4 linked regions of the Schizosaccharomyces pombe genome follow. The gene in region 1 interacts genetically with each later gene. Each region holds a gene or a part of one and is shown on either strand. Other genes may lie near its edges.

Region 1 (4,822 bases):
CTTTCAATTTCAAATGAAAATTTTTAAATTTATGTAGAGATTCGTAAAACTGAGATATCAAAGGCTTGAGTTGGGCAAACGCTTTGGGATCATTTAAAAAGCAATGGCTTAAAATCATTACGACATATCCACTAATTTCTACGATACTTTCCTACATTTGTTAGAAATGTCTTACAACAGAAGTAGTACAACTTACGTTCTTTTGATAAAACGAAATGAGGACATCGAGTGCTGAAGCTCCGAAAGAAACTAAATAGAATTAGTAAAAATATTAATAAAAGGAACTTACCTTCAACATGAGTGATAGTTTGAATAAACTCATGAGATTCCTCAACTAGCCCTAGTAAAAGACCAAGGATTAAGATAATTAGTTCTCGTGTAGTTTCATCATCGGACGAAAAATTAGAAAACTTTTGTAAAATTTTATAAGCAAACAATGGGACTTCTGATTTAGAAACCGCTAACGCATGATCACTGTTAGAATTAACTGTTTGAATCAAAGTACGCAACAATTTTTCACTGCATGCATGGACAACTGTATCGTCAATTTTTGGTGAATTTGTTTCATTGTGTTCATCAATTAAAATTTGTAACTTTGAGGATAAGATCTGTGAAACCTTCTGAATCTTTTCTGATCCCTGGAAATCCGTAAATTTTTCTAAAGAACTACAAAGTGCATGAAGTAAGAAGTTATTGCTTCCATCGTTTTCCTTCAAGATGGGGTAGGATTTTTCTATTAAAAGATTGATTAATTCGGTAAACAACTCGCTTTCCGCAAAAACTCCCGAGGACGTCTTCATAAGAGCGATAGCTGCAAGACTGATAGAATCAGAAGAAGCAAGAGACTCATTGCTAAAACTAAAAGTAAGCTCTGCCTTTATAACGAATTCTTGAACGGCTCCCTTTACACTTTTTGGTAAGCTTTTTGCCAAAATTGAAACCGGTACCTGCGGTTCTAAAGTAATAGCCGTTTGCAAAAGAAGTTTAACATTGTTTGAGTAAGCATCAAGCAAGGAACTCATGCAATCCATTTCATTAGCCATAGTTGCAAATATATAAATCTGCAAAAAAGTGTGTAAAGTATCTTTAGGATCAATTTCTTCAAATATTCGCAAGAAGACATCCCGTATCGACTTTAAGCATAAACGAAATGAATTGTCAAACATTTTTTCAGCGATTCCTATTAAACTCAAATAGCGAGAAGCAGAAGAGTTACCTGAGAAAGTCACTCCGTCCACTAAGTATTCAATTTCATCAACGATCCTTTGCTGCTCTCCAGCAAAGCGAAGTTCATGTATACTTTTCATTTGAATTTCATCATCTTCTGATACGTCTTCCTCTATCAAAAAAGCACGTTCTGTACCAATAGTATGGTTGGTTGAATCCAATTCTCGACCAGAGGATACTTCACGGGGTACAATTGGCTGAGTATCTAATCCTTCCTCCATCAAATACGATCTTTGTTCCCGATAGGTAGTGGAAGAATGGTTTGCGGAAGCATCAATACTACTACAGCTCGCGGACCTTTCCAGTCCTGTCTTATGAGAACCGTACTTTGAATTCTGAAGTCCATTTCTTAAAATTTGTTTTACCGGTGAAGACGGTAAACTCAAATCAGGATTACTAACGACCCTTTGCTTTTTATGCAGTCGTTTAGACACGGTCTGTCCTGGCGAGCGCTTTTGCTTGTTTAACTCTGAAACTGTCACGTCTAAAAAGTTCCAAACTTCCGATTCCGAAGAAATTCTCTTCAAACCATTATCTTTTTCCTTACATTTTCCTCTTTTCATTTCAAGGTTTCTTCAATCCGCCTGGCTTGACATCGATTCTTTACAAAAATGGAGGAACACGGTCGTACCAACTCACAATGTAGCTTGTCGAGTGAGTGAAAACCTTCGAAAATAGAGCTTAATAACTTCTTGAGCAAAGAAAAAAGAAAATAGGGTCCTTGATGAGAAATTCGTTTTTTATACTCAGTAATTTTAGAATCGTTTTTCTATTTGTACTTGGTTGATTTCAATCGGTCCTTATAGATATTTGAGTCACATTGTTACTCTACCCAGTATAAATAGAAAAGACTTAGTCGATAGAAATCATACAGGGCATCTTTTTATTCATTTATTATAGCAACTTATCCACTGATAGTAAAAAAGTTAACTAAAAGTTTTGAATTCGTACAACTTATGGAAGACCATAAGTGGACGAGTGGCTATTTGACACAAGTTTGTTTTCAGAGAGCCTGAACTTGGTGCAACACCTTTATTATACAGAAATCATTGTGACATGTAACATATTATTGAAAATTTCGACAACGAACAACTCAATAATATCTCGCAGAGCAAAGGAGTTATTCAAAATTTATATAACGATGCATCCTGTAATAATTTTAAACTCGTATAAGAGATTCTATAAAAACTTCGGAAAATGAAAAGCTGTAGTTAAAAAATTGTTTTGTGAATTTTGTACAAGTGTTGGAACTTATTTATTCAATATAATCTACTGAATCATATAGGCTAAGTAAGACATAAACTGATTAGTCGGACAAATGTGAACTAGTTAGCAAGCGCGACACGATAGCTACGCGACGCGTCAACAAACGCGACACGCTCAAATTTAATATAACCCTCGATATAAATGAAATGTCGCGCCCTATATAGTCACGACAACAATATCCTTATTTTTGGATTTTGTGTTCAAATCATGAGCGCTGGATCGCAAACAAAATTGAACTTCTCTGTCCGTAAAACTCGATCCTCATCAAAAAGGTCGAATGCGGCCATTATTGAGCCACCCAAAAATCCTGAGGATTCTCAAATAATACCAGCTGTTAAAAGGCTGAAAGAGAACTTGGACACTGAGTCTTTAGAACAAAATGAGGTTTTACCCCCAGTTAAAAATGAATCAGTTCTTTTCTTAGAAAAGGTCTTTAATGCAGTCGACATATGTGTAAAATTTCACCTCTCCATCAATACCAAACCAACCTTTGTGCTGTTAGAAAATAAAGTCTCTGGTCTCACCAAAATCTCCTTAAAAATAACTCATCTCGCTCAGATTTTAACCGTATGGCCAGAGTCATTTGCTATTACCCCATGTTTTACTATTCATCAAGGAAAGCGTGTTGCAACATATGAACTGTCATACCCTCGCAATGCGAATCTTCCTGAAGCCTTCTCCCGCTCCATTGAATTTAAACGGAGACTAGAAAAATGGTTGTTAGAGCATTGTTCTGAAACTGAGATTCCTGCTCAACAGTTACAAGCTTTACCCAGTCTATCCAAGAATACTGTTAATGAAAGTTCACTAGTTCGAAAGCTCAATTTGGAGAAATCAACAAGTCGCGAGTTACGTATTCCCACACAAACTCTAGAACCAAAATTCACTACTAACACGGCAAAATATGCTAATGAGTTAGTCTCGTGTAGCATGCTTGACAGTTCGTCCACTTTGTCAAAGTCAGTGAATTCAAAAATCAATTTGAAATCCCATCAAAGTTCTTCATCTGTTCAAAATTCATCGCGTAAGCTAACATCATCTCAGTTAACTTTGAGACAATCTTCTCTGTTCGATCGCGTGCGTAAAAAGCAAAAAGCAATGGAAGCAAAAAAAGCTGAAGAATTTAAAAACAACCTAGTTGTTCATACTCTAGCAAAAGAAAAGGTCTCATTTGTCCGCATTATTGATCTCATTTTTGTTCAGCTTTCCACTTGGCCAACTAAACGATCTTTTTCTATGTCTGAAATTGTGACAAGCATGCAAATGTCGATATCATCAAGCTTATCACCTGACCAGTGTGCCAAAGCAATTGAGTTGCTTTCAAAAGCTTTGCCTGCTTGGTGCACTATCAATCTTCTTGGTAATATTCAAGTAGTCACATTCAGCAGGATTGTTAATGGGAAACCATACTTGCGATCCCAATTAATTGAAGAATTGCAAACAAAGGCTAGCATCACTATTCTTTCAAATTCTTAATTGTAGGCGATGTTTCGAATGACATGCCTAAGATCACCACTGCTGGCAGTGGTTTAACGTTTACTATCTTTTACGATCTATATAATTTCCATCACCAATATTATGATACTATGGAATCTTTCATTAATTTACTTTTGTTATTATGTTTTTGGTTGATTTACTCTTCTAGGTACATGAAATCCGGTTATCCTTTTTAACAAGCTACAAAATTACTTTTTTTTAATAAATAATTATTTCCTTTAAGACCACTTAACCTGCCATAAATCCCAAGTTTTTGTTTTTCTGCGAATACTTTAAATTAACACCCAAACATTGAATAAAATTTTTTGATATTTACCAATTCCAGCGGCAAAGGGTGGCAGTTATTGCTGTAATTAAAAATCTCAAATAAGGCGCCGTTTTTAATAAACAATCTGAGTGAATCATATCGATAATGTAAAGGTTGCTAGTTAGAACACACAAATTGAGGTATAACTCGCACATTAAGATATCATAATCATTGGTCAAGCAGACAACATCTGAAGCATACCAACCAACTCATTTGCCCTTTGAGTAACCGCTACTTCCTGCTCAACTTTTTCACGAAGCTTTGAAATTGCATTTTCCACCATTACGCTGCCCCCAAGAGCAGCTCCGTATATATCTAAAATGGTGCTAGTAACTATACATAAAGTTTCGGAGAAACGAGGGTCTCTTATATATTTTCTTAAGAAGTTTATCAAAGGAGTAAGAGATAAATCATCTCTGTTAGACAATGCAATCCGTAACCCTCCAACATGAAGAAGCTCAATAAGCATAGTTATGATAAGAACAGGTGATCCGTTCTCCAATACCATATCCAAAGCATCAGAGT
Region 2 (5,052 bases), 750 kb from region 1:
CAAACCGGCGATGGAAAGATCCCGCATACTCTGTAAAACTTGTTCAACTTTATCATCCAACAAACCATTGGAATAGTCTTCGCGTACAGAGTTGTCAAAGTATTGCTGAACTTGAGCCATTTTCTCATATCCCTCCCTACAAAAGCGGAGCTGAATTTTGACAAGGGCTTCAAAGCTAGGGTCCAAATAAGGCACACGAAGAGCAATTAGTTGCGGAAGCTCACTGACCAGTTGATTATTGAGTGTCTCGTAGACCTCCTTCGCCATGGCTGCTTCTTTCTCGGTACGGGGAAGCTTAGTAGTGTCGTTGGAAGGCTTGTCGACCAGTTTTTGAACCTTAGCCCTCATAGCATCATGATCAAGTAATTTGTGATTACGCTTCGTGATAGCGGCATTAATATCGGGAAAGTAACTGCAGAACCTTGAGATGGGATCCAACACCGTTGTCCGGAAAGGACCGTCCAACTCTTTTACGGTATCGGCGTCCAAGTCTTCGACGACTTGTCGATAGTATGCACTGACACCATCCTTCGATCCAGCATCACCGTAAAATGCATCGATTGTGTTAGCGATTCTAGTTTGAGACGCAGTCATGGCTCTCAAAGCATCGAGATAACCTTTGGCTTCTTTTTGAAGCTTCTTTGCAGCTGATTCCATAGTTCTATAACGTCTTTCCTCTGTTTCAAATTCCCGATCCACCGTTCGCTCAACATGACCCGTCTTCATCATAACCTACCACAATGTTAGACAATTCTTCAACACTCAAATACATACCGAGGTACCCGCTCGGTTAACGGCCTTTTTGAATCCATGCCAACTCATTTTTGTGATATGGAAAAGAGAAGCGTCGGCATACCCAGATATCTTATGTCAGTTGATCGCTGCGCTAATGTTCGCTAGCTAAGCTGCATTGGATCTTTTAGTGGATTCAGCAGGATTCGCGTAGGGAACAATTCACGGAAGCAAAGCCATAACGTAAAGCCTGATTGCGAAGTTTATCATTGCGTTAAATAGAATAATGATAGTTTATTTCACAATGCAATTATAAAAAGATAAGGATGAAAAGCGTGTCGTTAATTTTGTGTTTAATTGATAGAGCAAGAGCATAATGGTGGTAAATTTGGGTTTCGAGGGTTGGCTTACTTTCATGTCACTATCAATAAATTACATCGCTTAAAAAATATATCTAAATTTTTCTTGTATAATCATCTGTAGTAAATCTCTGACTGCAATTAGAGGTCTATCCTCAGATAATTCTTGTTCACTAACTGCATCCAGCAGAAATCGCCTTATAAGGTAATATAGTTATGTTATAGTTTAATATAATATATCAATGTAAACATTTTAACTTGACAATATAGAGGTAATATCGTTTGCTCATAAATGGAAGATATTGTGGAGAAGCAATTTGAAATACGGACATTTTACCAACTTATAAATTTCATTAGAAGTGGTGGAATAAATGGTTTTGCATTATATGGATATAATGTTTTGAGGCTTCGACATGGAAAGACACGATTGCTACTTATCAATATATGAGATCATTCATGATAAAACTATAAAGAAAACGCTTTTCAGCGACATTTGAGCTAAAAAAACCCGGTCTCATAGTTTGCATCCTTACTCAAAAAGTGAAGAACTTAAGTTGTAGTAGTGGTGCATTACTTTGAGAGCTATTGTATAGCGATATTAGATATTGAAACAAGAACTCAGCCATTCAATGACAGTTTGTTTGTTCTGTGGGCAGTAAGACATCCAGATAATGCCCAAGAGAAAGATTCTTCTGAAAGTAAGAAACAAAAGCACCGAAATAAACCTTTCTTCTCTCTTTGTTGTCTTATCTAATTTTATAACTAAATTTGCCCATAAATCTCATCTGTGTGATGATAATTAACCGCATTTGACCAGCCCAAATATATTCTATTACAGAAAACAAGCGCTGCTACTAATAGATATACATAATTTTATAATATAATATTAATAATATAAAAAATTTAGTTGTACTGAAAATATTATCTTATGGAAAACTCCTTATAAACACTTTTTAGCGAGACACATCTACCACCACCTTACGCAGTATGAACACGTATTATACCCCAATACCTCGCTCCTCCTTCCCTTCTGTGACGTAATAGACGAGGTTATAAATATGGTGAATTATACATTCGAGTAGCTTCCAAGATCAAACTACAATTAAGTATTTCCTTTTATTTTAGTTTAGTATCGTATTTCTCTCATATCGATACTGTGCCCGTTTTTAAAATGTATGGAAGATTGAAAGATGGTTAAGCTTTATGGTCCAATTTTACTAATCTTCAATTCAATTAGAAGTTTCAACAACTCTTCTCCAAATTTCTAGTTTAATGTATGTCAGTTTTAATTATCAAACTTAACTCTAGCTACTCCATGTCTATTTGCTTAGCATGGTTTGAAAGACCTTTTGTATCTCGACATTATCTCTGCTGTTTGTAAACGAGCTGCATTAAGATTCGAAATACTTATGGTTTTTTAGTAGCAGTCGTTGTTAGTACTCTTTACATTCGTGGAATTTTTTTTTCCCGATTTCGCTAATCAACAGTAAACGATATTATTAAGTGTGATGGATTTGAACTATCAAGTATTCACTAGCATCTCCAAAAATTGGTGGTCCGCTTCTCTCGTTCCAGTCGCCTGCGGCTGGTTCATTGGGAATTCCTACAAGCCAAGAAAGGATTATGAGAACAAAAAGCAACCAAAGTTCCACCCCCCTGCATCTGCCTTTGGACCAGCATGGACACTACTATACCTAACAATGGGATATGCATCCCATTTGGCGTACAAGGCTGACCCTTTGATGATTACGAATGCCTCTCGAAATGGATCCATTTTATACATTGCACAGTTGGCCGCTAACTTTGCTTGGATGCCCTTGTTCTACGGATTAGCAAAACCAAAATTGGCTCTTGCCGATCTCGGCATTTTGACGGGACTTGTTGGTTGGCTTGCAAAGACATGGTGGCCTCTTGCACCAACGGCTTCCAAATGGTTAATTCCTTATTTAGCCTGGTTGGGATACGCTGGCTACTTGGTAAGTAATGTCACTAATTAAGGTTGATGTAGATCAAGAGAGTCAAAAGCATGACATGAGACAGTAGAATGTATTGTTGCATTTAAGAAAGAGCTTAAGCTGCACGATCAAAGTTTGAAAGAAACAGAAAAAAAAACACTAAAAAAACAATAACAGAAGAATCAGGTCGGAGAAAAAATATTATTGGAATAAGAAAAAGACAGCAGGAGGGATATGAGTTAAATAAAAAAAAAAAATTGGGCAGAACGAAAAAAGTCAAAACAAATTGATGGATAATAAATCGGTGACTAAAAAAATAATGAGTATAATATGATATGCAAAAAGGCCATGACTGAGTGATTTCGACTTGTTTCTTTCTCAAAAAATCACCAACAACATTGCAGTCCTAAATTGAACTTTGTCGGTAGGTCGACAACCTATACACAGTCTTGTGATTGTTTTGTATCTCTCTCAGCCTTAATTAGTTGACTACTTCATGGTTCCTGAAGAACCGTGTGAGGGATATGTTTGCTGACCAATTATCATAGAATCTTGGGTATTGCCTGTTAAATTAAGAGGATCGATATCGCTCGCTGGTAGTACAGGGAGACCTGTGGCTGTAGGATCATTGACATCAAGGTGATCAATCGAATCCATTGGATTGTGTGGTATAAAAGCTGCACCTGCAGACACGCTATCATCGTGATACACATCCAGACCAGGAAAAGCACTATGCTCATTTCCAGCTAGTGTAGATGAATAATCATTAGTACCTTTATGAAATGACCCTGGATGAGCAGCTGACGAAGTAGTAGTAGTAGTAGAGTTGTTGCCATTGGTAGAAGCTGTAGCAAAACTGCCTAGTTGAGAACCACTGGACATAAGATTCGATGTGTTTGAGTCGGTCTGTGGGAGCACTGTCATATCATGAGGCACTGGCCCCGAGGTGGAAGCGGTATTAGTGGGCCCACCCGACATGGCAATATTACCACTCATGTCTAGCTCGCCTCTGACATTTGGAGAAGTAATGTTGTTTCCAGAAGTATTGTTAGCAGGAGACATAGATGCTGTGGCAGAATTGATAGGAGCTGGAGACTCAGACGAGTTGGAGATAGAGCTAGGTCTTGAATCATTGCTATCCGCATATCCTTCAGACGTGTGAGTCACTTCAGAAGAAACGGTTGCAGGCACGGTGGCATCATTGGCATTTGTGGCATTAACATCGTCTCCTGTACTTCCTCCATTAGCAGCTGCCTCTGCAGCTTCCTGCGCTCTCAATTTTGATACTTTGTCAGCAGTCAAGAATCGGCCACCAGGACCACGAGGTCGTCGCATAGCATGCTTATGCCTTGATTCATGTAAATATGGTTTTTTCGTAGTCTGCACACCACGCAATCTCTCTTCTAACTTTGCGCGAGCTTCTCTACGTTTCAAAATTCGATGGTATTGCTTTGCATTCACGTAAAGCCCCTCGACCGGCTCATATGGATTCATTGGAAAATGACTATTCTTATTTCAATTGCTCTAACTATTGGGAGGATCTCAGGAATCAAAATTCTGCTCGTTACGGTATATTCGTCTCGTTGGTCGGTTGGTTGGTTTAGGTGGTTTGTAACTCCGCAGGCGCTAGCGACTACCAATGGTAAGCAGCTATTCTTTACATATCGGTAAATGTGTATAACGATTATTGTCGATCTTTCCAGGATTGCAAATAGTGAGGACGGCTTGCAGTGCATTTTGTCACAAACGAATATATAATCTTATGTACACATATGATAATGTCACTAACTGAATGGCATAACTATTTTCTTATGAATTGGGTTAAAAAAAAGCTAACAGTCGAAATATAATACAACAGAGGTTGCATTGTAGCGTATGGCACTGGAACACGTTATACCAAATATCTTTTTTAAACAGTTTTCAATGTTGTATGCGATGTAGTTGAAGAGGGAGACTTTTACCTCGTACAATATTTTTTTATTTGATATTATTAATAATTTACTTAG
Region 3 (5,122 bases), on another chromosome or scaffold:
ATCTTCTCTAGCTTCAACTGGAGATGATCTTGTTGCTTTGAATGGAGCAATTGATAAAGTTAATTTGTCTGTGAAGGATCAAGAAGGACTCCAAATTCTTATGGCTCATTTTTACTCGTTTTCTGAAAGTGAAGATTTCAGAAAGAGATTATTTGCTGCTGAGCATATGCTAGTCTTTTTCCAAAACTGTAAACTCGATTACTATAGGTACGTTGGGGACTGGGTTAGACATTTTATTACTCTCTTCGAAGACAAGAGTCAAGATGTTGTGGTTGCTGCAGTTGCTGCTCAGAATACTCTTGTTTCGGCTCTTCGCAAAGACCAGTTGGATTCTTTAGTTTCAATTGCCTATCATAGCCTTCGCGATGTGGGATCTCAAGGCGTTAATCTTCCGGCGTTTGAAGTTGCTCAGGGCGTCAATTCCATTTTACCTATTTTCCTTTACGGATTAATGCATGGAACAATGGATCAGCGAGAACAATCTGCTTTAGGTATTGCAGACATTGTTTTAAAGACTGAACCAAGCAAACTTCGTCCTTTTGTTACTCAAATAACAGGACCATTAATTCGTATTATTGGTGAACGATTCCCGGTCGAGGTTAAGTGCGCTATTCTGTATACGCTTAATATTATTTTATCTAAAATCTCTACATTTTTGCGCCCGTTTTTGCCCCAATTGCAGAGGACATTTGCAAAATGTTTGGGTGATCCATCTAGCGAAGTCATTCGGAGTCGTGCAGCAACAGCATTAGGAACTCTGATTACCTTACAAACAAGACTTGCTCCCATTATCACGGAGCTTGTATCTGGTGCACGGACTCCCGATGCGGGTGTTCGTAAGGCTATGCTTAACGCACTTTTTGCTGTTGTTTCAAAGTCTGGGCAGAATATGAATGAAGCATCCGCAGAAGCCATTGAACAGCTCCTTGACGAAATATCTGCAGAAAGTAGTGAACACATGGTAATTTGCGCCAAGTTATACGGTGCATTATTCAGTCATCTACCTGACGCTCAAGCAAAGCAGCTGTTAGAAAGTAAGGTTTTGAGTTTAGAGATTCAGTCTGAATTTTCGGTACTGATATTGAATGCTGCTGTGAAGTTTGGTTCTCAAAAAATTATTGAGTTGAAGTTATCAGACATAGTTTGTTCGATTATCTCAACTGCGAGTTTACAGAAGGAAGTTACAATTGCTGAAAATGGTATTTTGGCTCTTGGTAAAGCACTTTTGGCTGATATTCCACAGAGTTTCGGAAATGCCAAGAATTTAGTTGAGGCACTGAAGGTTAACATCGAGGCTCCACCTTCAACTTCTCAAGATTCACGACGTCTCGCACTTTTAATCATAAGGGTTGTGAGCAAGGAAAATTATAGTCTTATTAAACCACATATTTCCATTCTAGCTCCTGCGATATTCGGTTGTGTTAGGGCCATTGTGATTCCCGTAAAACTTGCAGCAGAAGCTGCATTTTTGGCTTTGTTCCAATTGGTTGAAGATGACAGTGTTTTAAACAAGTATATTGAGACACTAGAAGGGCCAAGAGCAAGAAGTTTTGTTGACTACAGTCGTAGAGTTGCCGTGAAATTAGCAGCTGCCGAACGTGACCGTATAAATTCTGGCAGTGAGCGAGTAAAACTAGAAGAGGTTGAGGATCTTGCGGAAATCAATGCTGTAGGACGGGACAATGAAGTTTCCACTAATGATCCTTAATCCCAACTCAAAATTTGGAAGTACTCCAATTCATGTTTTGAGTTGTAACGTTAAAAAAGATTGGGTATAGATGAATGAAAACATTTTGTTTATAAAATATCTCTGTAAAGTGTTGACGATATCAATATATGGTGTAGCAATTTTAAACTTCAGTTTCGTATCAGATTTAGTTACAATATCAGAAATTAATGACTTTGTGTTATAAATGTGTAAACTTAATAAAGAAAGACATCTTTATTTACTTTTTACTTTCAATATCATAGTACTTACTTTGGGGTAAATATTTGCGAAGTAGAACTTTCCAAAAGGAATTTTCTAATTTGACCCACCTAATAGTTTAATATTCTTTATTGTTATTAAACTTTAGTTTGTAAAAGTTTTTCGGACGCGCCAAGTTCTACTTAAATTTTATCAACTTTATCTTTCAGTTTTAGGACACCTTACCTATCACCACAATGGCAGTTCTTCGTCAATTCGTCAAGAACTCTTACTCTTCAATTCCCAAGCGCTTTTATGCGCTTTCTGCTAATCAAAAAAAGGTAAAGAAGTTTATTTAAACGCGCTTTTTTGGAGCAAGCAATGACTGTATTTTCTATCTGTGCTGTTTGCTACTATCAACAGGCGATAGATTGACTTGCTCAAATGATTTATGAAGTGTTCTAATAAAGTTCTAACGATAATTAAGTTACTCAAAGCACCATTGGCAGAATGTGATCCGACAGTGTATAAGATTTTGGAATCTGAGAAAAGCCGTCAGAAAGAGTCGATAGCTTTAATTGCTAGCGAAAACTTTACTTCAAGAGCTGTGATGGATGCACTCGGAAGTATTATGCAAAACAAATATAGTGAAGGCTATCCTGGTGCAAGATATTATGGTGGTAATGAATTTATAGATCAAGCTGAAAGACTATGTCAAACGAGAGCTTTAGAAGCTTTTCATTTGGATGGGGAAAAATGGGGAGTAAATGTACAACCCCATTCTGGGTCTCCGGCCAACTTACAGGCTTATCAAGCAGTAATGAAGCCACACGATCGCCTAATGGGTTTAGATTTACCCCATGGCGGTCATTTATCTCATGGTTTCTCTACTCCCCAGAAAGCTATTTCAGCTGTCTCGACTTATTTTTCCACCATGCCATATAACGTAAATAAGGAAACTGGTATTATTGACTATGATAGTTTGGAAAAGGCTGCGATACAATTTCGTCCTAAAGTTATAGTTGCAGGCGCTAGTGCTTATGCACGACTCGTTGATTACAAGCGTATGCGTAAAATTACGGAAATGTGCAATGCCTATTTGCTTTGTGATATGGCTCACATATCCGGTTTAGTAGCTGCCGGTGTAATTCCTTCTCCGTTTGAATACGCCGATATTGTTACTACGACGACTCATAAGTCTTTACGTGGACCGAGAGGAGCTATGATATTTTATCGAAAAGGTACTCGTTCTCACGATAAACGTGGTAATCCAATTTTATATGAATTAGAGGATAAAATCAATTTCTCAGTTTTTCCTGGACATCAAGGCGGCCCCCATAATCATACAATTACTGCGTTAGCTGTCGCCCTTGGACAAGCAAAAACTCCTGAATTCTATCAATACCAAAAGGACGTTCTAAGTAACGCCAAGGCAATGGCCAATGCATTTATTACTCGTGGCTATAAGTTAGTTTCAGGTGGCACGGATACTCACTTGGTTCTTGTTGATTTGACCGACAAAGGTGTAGATGGTGCCCGTGTCGAACGTATTTTAGAGCTTGTAAATATTTCTGCCAACAAGAATACTGTGCCCGGAGATAAGTCTGCTTTAATTCCACGTGGATTACGTCTGGGAACTCCAGCTTGCACTACTCGCGGTTTTGATGAGAAGGATTTTGAGAGAGTGGTAGAGCTAATTGATGAAGTTGTATCTTTGACCAAGAAAATAAATGAAGCTGCTTTGAAGGAAGGAAAATCGAAGTTTAGAGACTTCAAAGCATATGTGGGTGATGGTTCTAAATTCTCTGAAATCGCCAAACTGAAGAAAGAAGTTATAACTTGGGCTGGAAAATTTGATTTCCCCGTTTAAGCTGTCTCTAACTTTTTGGCTCTTATCTCATACTTATCATCTGTTACTTTCTCTTATAAAGGATATATCATGGAAATTAAACATGAGCTGTATGAATAATGAAAATATCTGGACAAATTCTCTATTAAAGTAACCCTACAAATATCATATAATAAACAGAGGTAATAATGTGTTACACTTATATGCTGCATAGGAATGGGGATAAAATTATGCTGAAGCGTGTATAAAGAAGGACGGTAAATCCATAGTAGACAATATTAGCATTAGGCAAAATATCTACCCCTTTATTAAAGGATACAGCCCTAATAAATGGTTGACTAACCTGCTAAAGATTTCATAATCATAAGGCACCTTAAATGTTATAAAGGGGTGGAGTTTTTAAATGAAGAGAAACGAGGTAAAATAATGGTACGAATCCGTGATAACCATCTAACAACATTGGGAAGAAGACTTCTTCTTATTAAGATCATTCATGGTAGGGGCGATATTAAGCGTTTGACCAGCTGTAGGATGAACACCGTCGTCTCCAGCCTCGAGTGATCTGTTGGAGACAATTCGGAAAATTTCTACGCTAGATTAGTAAAACTTGAAGAAATCAAAGCAAGTACGAATAAACATACCAGTCAAAACTGTTTGGAAAGCTTCTTCAACATTGCTAGCATCCATGGCGGAGGTTTCAATAAAAGATAAGTTATTTTCAGCTGTAAAAACATTAGTTAATTATGTTCAAAAAATTATGACGAATCAGAGGCAAACAAATGTGCTTAATAAACAGAGAATGGAATCGACAAGGTGAATAATATTTCAAAACAAAAAGAGATCTTCTACGCTTCAAGCAGTTCAAAATTGCTAAAAACGATGAACGGAATAAAGTGAGAGCGGCTAAAGCCGGTTTCACTACTTCCCGTCCGAACAACTCCATATCTCACCAACAAAATTACTTACCAGCAAATGCCTGGGCTTCTTCAGTAGATACAGCTCTTAAATGTAGTAAATCCGTTTTATTACCAACAAGCATGATAACGATGTTGCTGTCTGCATGCTCACGAAGCTCCTTTAACCAGCGGCCCACATTATCGAATGAAGATTGTTTTGTGATATCGTAAACAATCAGAGCACCAACAGCACCACGGTAATAAGCTGAGGTAATGGCCCGATAACGTTCCTGACCGGCAGTATCCCAGATCTGTGCTTTAATTTTTTTGTTGTCAAGAACAATATTTCTAGTAGCAAATTCAACACCAATAGTACTCTTGCTTTCGATATTAAATTCATTCCTAGTGAAACGCATAAGTAGGTTTGACTTTCCAACACCACTATCCCCAATCAGCACAGTCTTGAACAAA
Region 4 (5,311 bases), on another chromosome or scaffold:
AGAGAAATAGTCAGTACACGAATCCGTCTTTCACCGTTACAAGTAGTATGGAGCATAGCTGTTTGGAAAGAAACAAAGGGCTTGGTGATAGTGTCCTCAATAACAACCTCTACTACATAACTCTGATCGCGAGGAAAAGAAGGAAACGCACATAGATCACTTGAACGATTAAAAAAGTTTCCGTAGAAAGAAGACATACGGAGACCGTTAGATCCACGAACACGCATCACCGCCTCTAGCTCAATCTCCATACTGAGATAGTTAGTAAGTTCAGAAGCAAATTTAAGAGCGTCCTCGCTACGGGAAGCATTCCACCTGTGATAGAATTGGGTTTTACCAGAGGTGTATCTAGGAAGGCAACTTAAGGTTGCTACATCTTGATACTGAGAAGAAAAAAGAAACATATCAACAGAGACTTGAGACGTGGAGCATTCCACCGCGAAGGATTTATAGAAGGAGTCATTGGGATGAAGAAGGCTAGATTCACGATTTGTTCCCAAAAGTTTAGGATCTTCACGTAACTCCAATTTACCAACACCAACATTAGGAAGACTCGAAATGAGACAGCAAATTTTACCGCCAATATTTTCAATGAGACGATGGGCAGCCTTAAGACCTGGTCCAAGGGCATTACTAGAATCACGGGTAGTTGCAAACATTGATTGAAATCGCTCGAGTAAGTTTTCAATGCCTTGTCTACATTCGCGTAAATTAAGTAACAAATCTTGATTCCTGGGTAAAAACGGTTCCTCTAAATCAGAAACAACTAGTTGGGTGGCTTCTTCAGCACCAGGGGAAACTGAAAAAAAATGCAGGGCACTGTCTACACCAATAAAAGCCACCTTTGCACGTCCTTCTTTATTGGGGATGCGATCCAATGATTCCAGAATTGCACGACTTGCAGTACCAACCATACCAGAAGATATGGATACAAACGAAATATCAATTAAAAATACGTAAACCAAAGGTTGTGGAGCACGAACCATATATTCTTGAGGAGCAATAAAATCAACAACTGCATAATTGAGCTCAGGACGTTGCCAGCGATCACGTTGGACATTTCTGAAACTGTCCCAGTCATATGACTGGGGTACTTCATTAACAATACCACAAGAATTACAGCGATAGCGATGGCCATTGTCAATAAAGATACTAAAAGGATTGATATACATACGACACCTGCGGCATCGTGATATAATAGTATCAGTAACAACTGGAACTGGATCATCTTCTTCGACCAAGCTAGTATATGGACGGATGACTAATGCAAATGGAATTTTTGACTTTTTTAACAAGCTATTTGTTGTCGGTACACAGTTTATCGTGGATCGAACATATTTGGGAGGGCAATTGGAAGTAGCTGCTCCAGTAGCGGAATAGCTTAAGGGTAAATTAATAGGAGGAGGAGGAGAGGTTAAGTCAGAAATTTCTGGTGTTTGATTGTACAAATCAACAGAAACTAACTCATTGGTAGGCATAGCTGCTGCACCATCTGCTCCAAGTGACATTCCGCCAAATTGTGCAGAGAGAGATTTAGTTCCCACCTCTGCGCGATCATGAGGATATGGTGAAGAGGATGGAGTTCGTGCCATAACGTAAGAGGGCTCTGAAAGAGAAGGGGGAGCCGGTGACGCTGCTAAGGTATTTGTAAGTTCAAACACCTCAGCAGGATACTGTCTACGAGACTTATGAGAGGTATGAGAAACGGGTGGTTGTTGATCGACAGATCCTATTATGTTGGTAGGAGCAGCACCCATAGCTCCAACAGCGTATTCACCATTGCTTACAATGCCTTCAGCTGTACCCTCAGCAACTGCCCCGACATAAGGAGCGGTATTATCTAGCTGGCCAGCAACTGGATAAACTGGCTGAAATCCTTGAGGAGGTATATTCGAATTTCCACTACTAGCTCCATAACTACCCTTTCCGTAGAAAGCGTCCTCCTGACTCATTGCTTTAGTGTATTTTTTTTTACTTACAGTGGTATATTGCTAGCAAAAAAAAGAAAAGAAACACTGAATTATTTAATAACTTTTTTGAAGATCCCTCTATTTTTCCTTCCTTTTCACAAAAAGACGTTTTTAACAGTGTTCCCTGGAGTAGGTAAATGGCAGCTACATTCGCTGGTTCAACTAACGTAGATGGAAAGTTAAGGTAATCACTGGAAAGTTAACGAGCTTTACAGTTTCGTTATTAAATACTATGTATCGTAGTAATTATATCGGTGACACACGTTATTACCCTAATAATTTTAACATAGGCAGGAACTTTGTACCTAATTGATAAAAAATAGTGATTATTAGTAAACAAAAGCCAATAGAGATATTTTATCGTTTTAATTTATTCTTTTTTTTTTTTAAGTTTGATATGAGGCAGATACCTGTAAACGTTTTCAACTAAAAAAACTCTTCTAAACCACTCATACTTAATTTTCTATTTTAAAAATTTTACATGTATATATCATAAACAAGAGAGTCACATCTTAAGAAATTTTGAAATTTTTTTAAAAATGCTCTCAAAAACCATCACTGCATGTATCGTACACTATTTAGCTACACCAACGCTCTATAATGTTACCCAATTTTAACAGGCTCACTAGTTAATTAGAATTCAGAATTGCAAAGTATCAAAAGTTCAATTATAGATTGAATAATTGAAGTTGCCTGCGCTATTTGGTTTTGTCTTACATGAACTATTACACCCCGGGTCCCTTGCTATACTGATTACCTTTTGTCAATGTTTTTTTCTTAATATTTCTTCAGACAAGTGAACATTATTATGCAAGGAAAAAACAATTTAAGTTGCAGACCGGATACAGAGGACAATGAAGAGCTCTTTGTCGATGATCAACTCTTATCACCCATTGGTGACTCGAAAAATACAAGTTCTTTCATTTACTTGGGAAACCCCATAAGCTTTCATGAATACAATTATGATGAGACTATGGTATCACCTGAAAATGTGAAAACAGCAATTGCTGGAAGTGCGAAAGACCATGAAACATGTCGAGGCTTCAAAAAAACAGGCACTACTTCATATAAAGACTTTGTATTCAGTAGAGATTACACCAACTGGACACCCACTTTTTGGGTTCTGTTAAGTCAACTAATTGATGAATTTTTGAAAGAAAGCGAATTAAACTTTGTGGCTGCGAGAGATCTTCTTATTAAAACCAAAAGACTTCCAAAACCTTTCAATAATTTACTCATTCAATTTCGTATGACACCTGAGTGCTTTCAAAAAAATCCGCTAATTCAAGTCTAGAAATTCAAGTGCCCAATGTTTCACGAAGGACTGTGTATAGGCATCTTAAGGGATATTTTAACATTCCAGGTTATGAAAGGTTTCAATACGTTAAAAAAGCGTCGTCTGGATCATGGGGAGCAAACGACATTATCACTTTGGAAAAAGAAATTGCTATGTTTAAAAAGGTATGGTCTTTAGCTTGCTGTTTTATTATAAATATTAAAAAACAGAAAAAAAATTGGTCTGATGAACAATTTCTTCAATATGTTTGGTCTGATAACCATCGTGATGAAATGAAAACATTATATAATTGTTTGTGTAAGTCAATTACTATCACTTGTTACTAATTAATAATAGATGAGCTTATCGATAGGGATAAAAAGAGTATTTACAATTATCTCCGCAGAAAATATAATCCATTTAAGAAAAAATGTAAATGGACTATAGAAGATGAGGCAGAATTGAAAAAGTATGTAGTTTACTTTCCAAATTGCAACTAACTAATAGACTTGTTGAAAAACATGGAACATCCTGGAGCTTAATTGGCAAATTGTCGAATAGACTACCAATGCATTGCAGAGATCATTGGCGCGACTACATTCAACCTGGTGAAATCAATCGTTCACCATGGACTATCCAGGAGAAAGAAAAATTAATCAAAACGGTTAATCAATACTTGCAAAGCAATCCTTCATCCCCTATTCAATGGAGTCTAATTTCTAAAAACATGAGAAATCGACACCGTCATCATTGTAGGTGGAAGTATTACACACTAATTTCCAGAGATATACATAATAGTTCCCCTTTCAAACTTGGCGATAGTATATGGTTAATTGAAAGGTACTCCAATTATAAAATTTTAAATAAGAAGCTAATTAAATTCAGAATGATGGACCTTAATGTTGCAGAGGAACGGATGATTGATTGGAAATGCTTATCAGAATATGCTAATCACCTATGGACAGCAGATGCTTGTAAATCGCATTTCGAAAGAATAAAAAAAACCTTGTTTATCGATGGACTTTCTACGTTTTCTGGTAAATTTTTGAATATAATAATTATTGTTAATATGTTAACGCTTTAGATACTTTAATTCATTTGCACAAAATGCTAAATTCTTCTCCTGAAGAAACTTACATTTCGAACTTACATGATTCTTACACCGCTTTTTCTAACGCCGATGATTTATGCTAGCTACATGAACAAATTTATTTTAACTACTTCCTCAAAGTCATAGATTTAAATTTTTTGTGTATTCATTGAGAGAATGTTCTCATCTTACTTATATTAGTAAATTCACTTTTATATTTTTTCTAGTATACATTTGTGTATGTAACCTGTTTGCCGTGTAGTCAATAAATAAAACAAATGTGGATAAAAAGGAAAAATAGTTTCTAACATTGGAGATGCCGGGAATCGAACCCGGGACCTTTTCAAGGTGCGAACTATGCGAATGAAACGTTATACCCCTAAACTACATCCCCAGTCGATATGATGTTATAATTTAACCCATTATTAATAAAAGGTTAAAAAAAAGAACGAATGTCAAGCTATAAAATAAAATAATCATCATCATCATTGATTAATTTAGCAAGGGTGCCTGCATCTAGTTTTTTTATCAGTCAATAACTCATACATTAACCGCATTCATAAGAGGCTATTTTGACAGGTCATTTCTGAATTTTTTGAATTAAATTAATAGTACACAGAGAGACATAAATGAAAACTAAGTAAGTTTCATTAATAATACATGAATACAGAAGTGATGCCCACAAAATAACAAATCAGATAATTCTATTTACTTACCCATCATAAATTTTTATTCATTGATGCGAAAATAAAATATGGATGAAAAGAGGTTGATTGAAGAAAAGTAAAATCATTAAATAATTTTTTCTTTATGATAAATTAGCCAAGCGTCTAGTGATTTCATAGAGTCAAAGAACGGAATTTAAATTACTGATGTACTGAAATCCTGATTTTTATGTCAAATATTCTATCACTTCCTAACTAATCCTTTTCATAAATATGACTAAAAAAATTACAAGTTTAAGTTGTTTCGAAC

The links.
Region 2: mutations in cdt1 (region 1) and tsp0 together harm fitness less than expected from each alone (positive genetic interaction), as found in Schizosaccharomyces pombe (one large-scale study listed by BioGRID).
Region 3: mutations in cdt1 (region 1) and shm2 together harm fitness less than expected from each alone (positive genetic interaction), as found in Schizosaccharomyces pombe (one large-scale study listed by BioGRID).
Region 4: mutations in cdt1 (region 1) and rtf1 together harm fitness less than expected from each alone (positive genetic interaction), as found in Schizosaccharomyces pombe (one large-scale study listed by BioGRID).

Annotation. Positions count from the first base shown.
Region 1 is NC_003423.3:474,731-479,552, forward strand, and holds cdt1 (DNA replication licensing factor Cdt1), read left to right. Parts: upstream 1-2,661; 5' UTR 2,662-2,700; coding exon 2,701-3,969; 3' UTR 3,970-4,008; downstream 4,009-4,822. Other genes in the region: wpl1 (WAPL family protein), read right to left, coding at 1-151, 197-249, 290-1,790; U3 snoRNP protein Utp15, read right to left, coding at 4,473-4,822. UniProt on the Schizosaccharomyces pombe protein: DNA replication licensing factor, required for pre-replication complex assembly. Faithful duplication of the genetic material requires 'once per cell cycle' DNA replication initiation and elongation.
Region 2 is NC_003423.3:1,222,375-1,227,426, forward strand, and holds tsp0 (tspO-like protein), read left to right. Parts: upstream 1-2,177; 5' UTR 2,178-2,264; exon of another isoform or gene 2,265-2,328; 5' UTR 2,329-2,365; exon of another isoform or gene 2,366-2,525; intron 2,526-2,568; exon of another isoform or gene 2,569-2,578; 5' UTR 2,579-2,599; coding exon 2,600-3,067; exon of another isoform or gene 3,068-3,535; coding exon of another isoform or gene 3,536-3,594; coding exon 3,595-3,621; downstream 3,622-5,052. Other genes in the region: BAR adaptor protein Hob3, read right to left, coding at 1-732, 775-822; CCAAT-binding factor complex subunit Php2, read right to left, coding at 3,536-4,540.
Region 3 is NC_003424.3:2,215,841-2,220,962, reverse strand, and holds shm2 (serine hydroxymethyltransferase Shm2), read left to right. Parts: upstream 1-2,140; 5' UTR 2,141-2,163; coding exon 2,164-2,247; intron 2,248-2,393; coding exon 2,394-3,776; 3' UTR 3,777-3,944; downstream 3,945-5,122. Other genes in the region: translation initiation regulator Gcn1, read left to right, coding at 1-1,708; Rab11 family GTPase Ypt3, read right to left, coding at 4,206-4,342, 4,397-4,477, 4,722-5,122. UniProt on the Schizosaccharomyces pombe protein: Interconversion of serine and glycine.
Region 4 is NC_003424.3:4,796,396-4,801,706, reverse strand, and holds rtf1 (RNA polymerase I termination factor Rtf1), read left to right. Parts: upstream 1-2,579; 5' UTR 2,580-2,778; coding exon 2,779-3,217; exon of another isoform or gene 3,218-3,264; coding exon 3,265-3,431; intron 3,432-3,476; coding exon 3,477-3,564; intron 3,565-3,603; coding exon 3,604-3,715; exon of another isoform or gene 3,716-3,753; coding exon 3,754-4,086; exon of another isoform or gene 4,087-4,131; coding exon 4,132-4,283; intron 4,284-4,330; coding exon 4,331-4,440; 3' UTR 4,441-4,512; downstream 4,513-5,311. Other genes in the region: sec24 (coincidence detector Sec24/Sfb2 subunit), read right to left, coding at 1-1,952. UniProt on the Schizosaccharomyces pombe protein: Mediates site-specific replication termination at the polar replication barrier RTS1, a barrier which ensures that replication of the mat1 locus in S.pombe occurs in the centromere-proximal direction.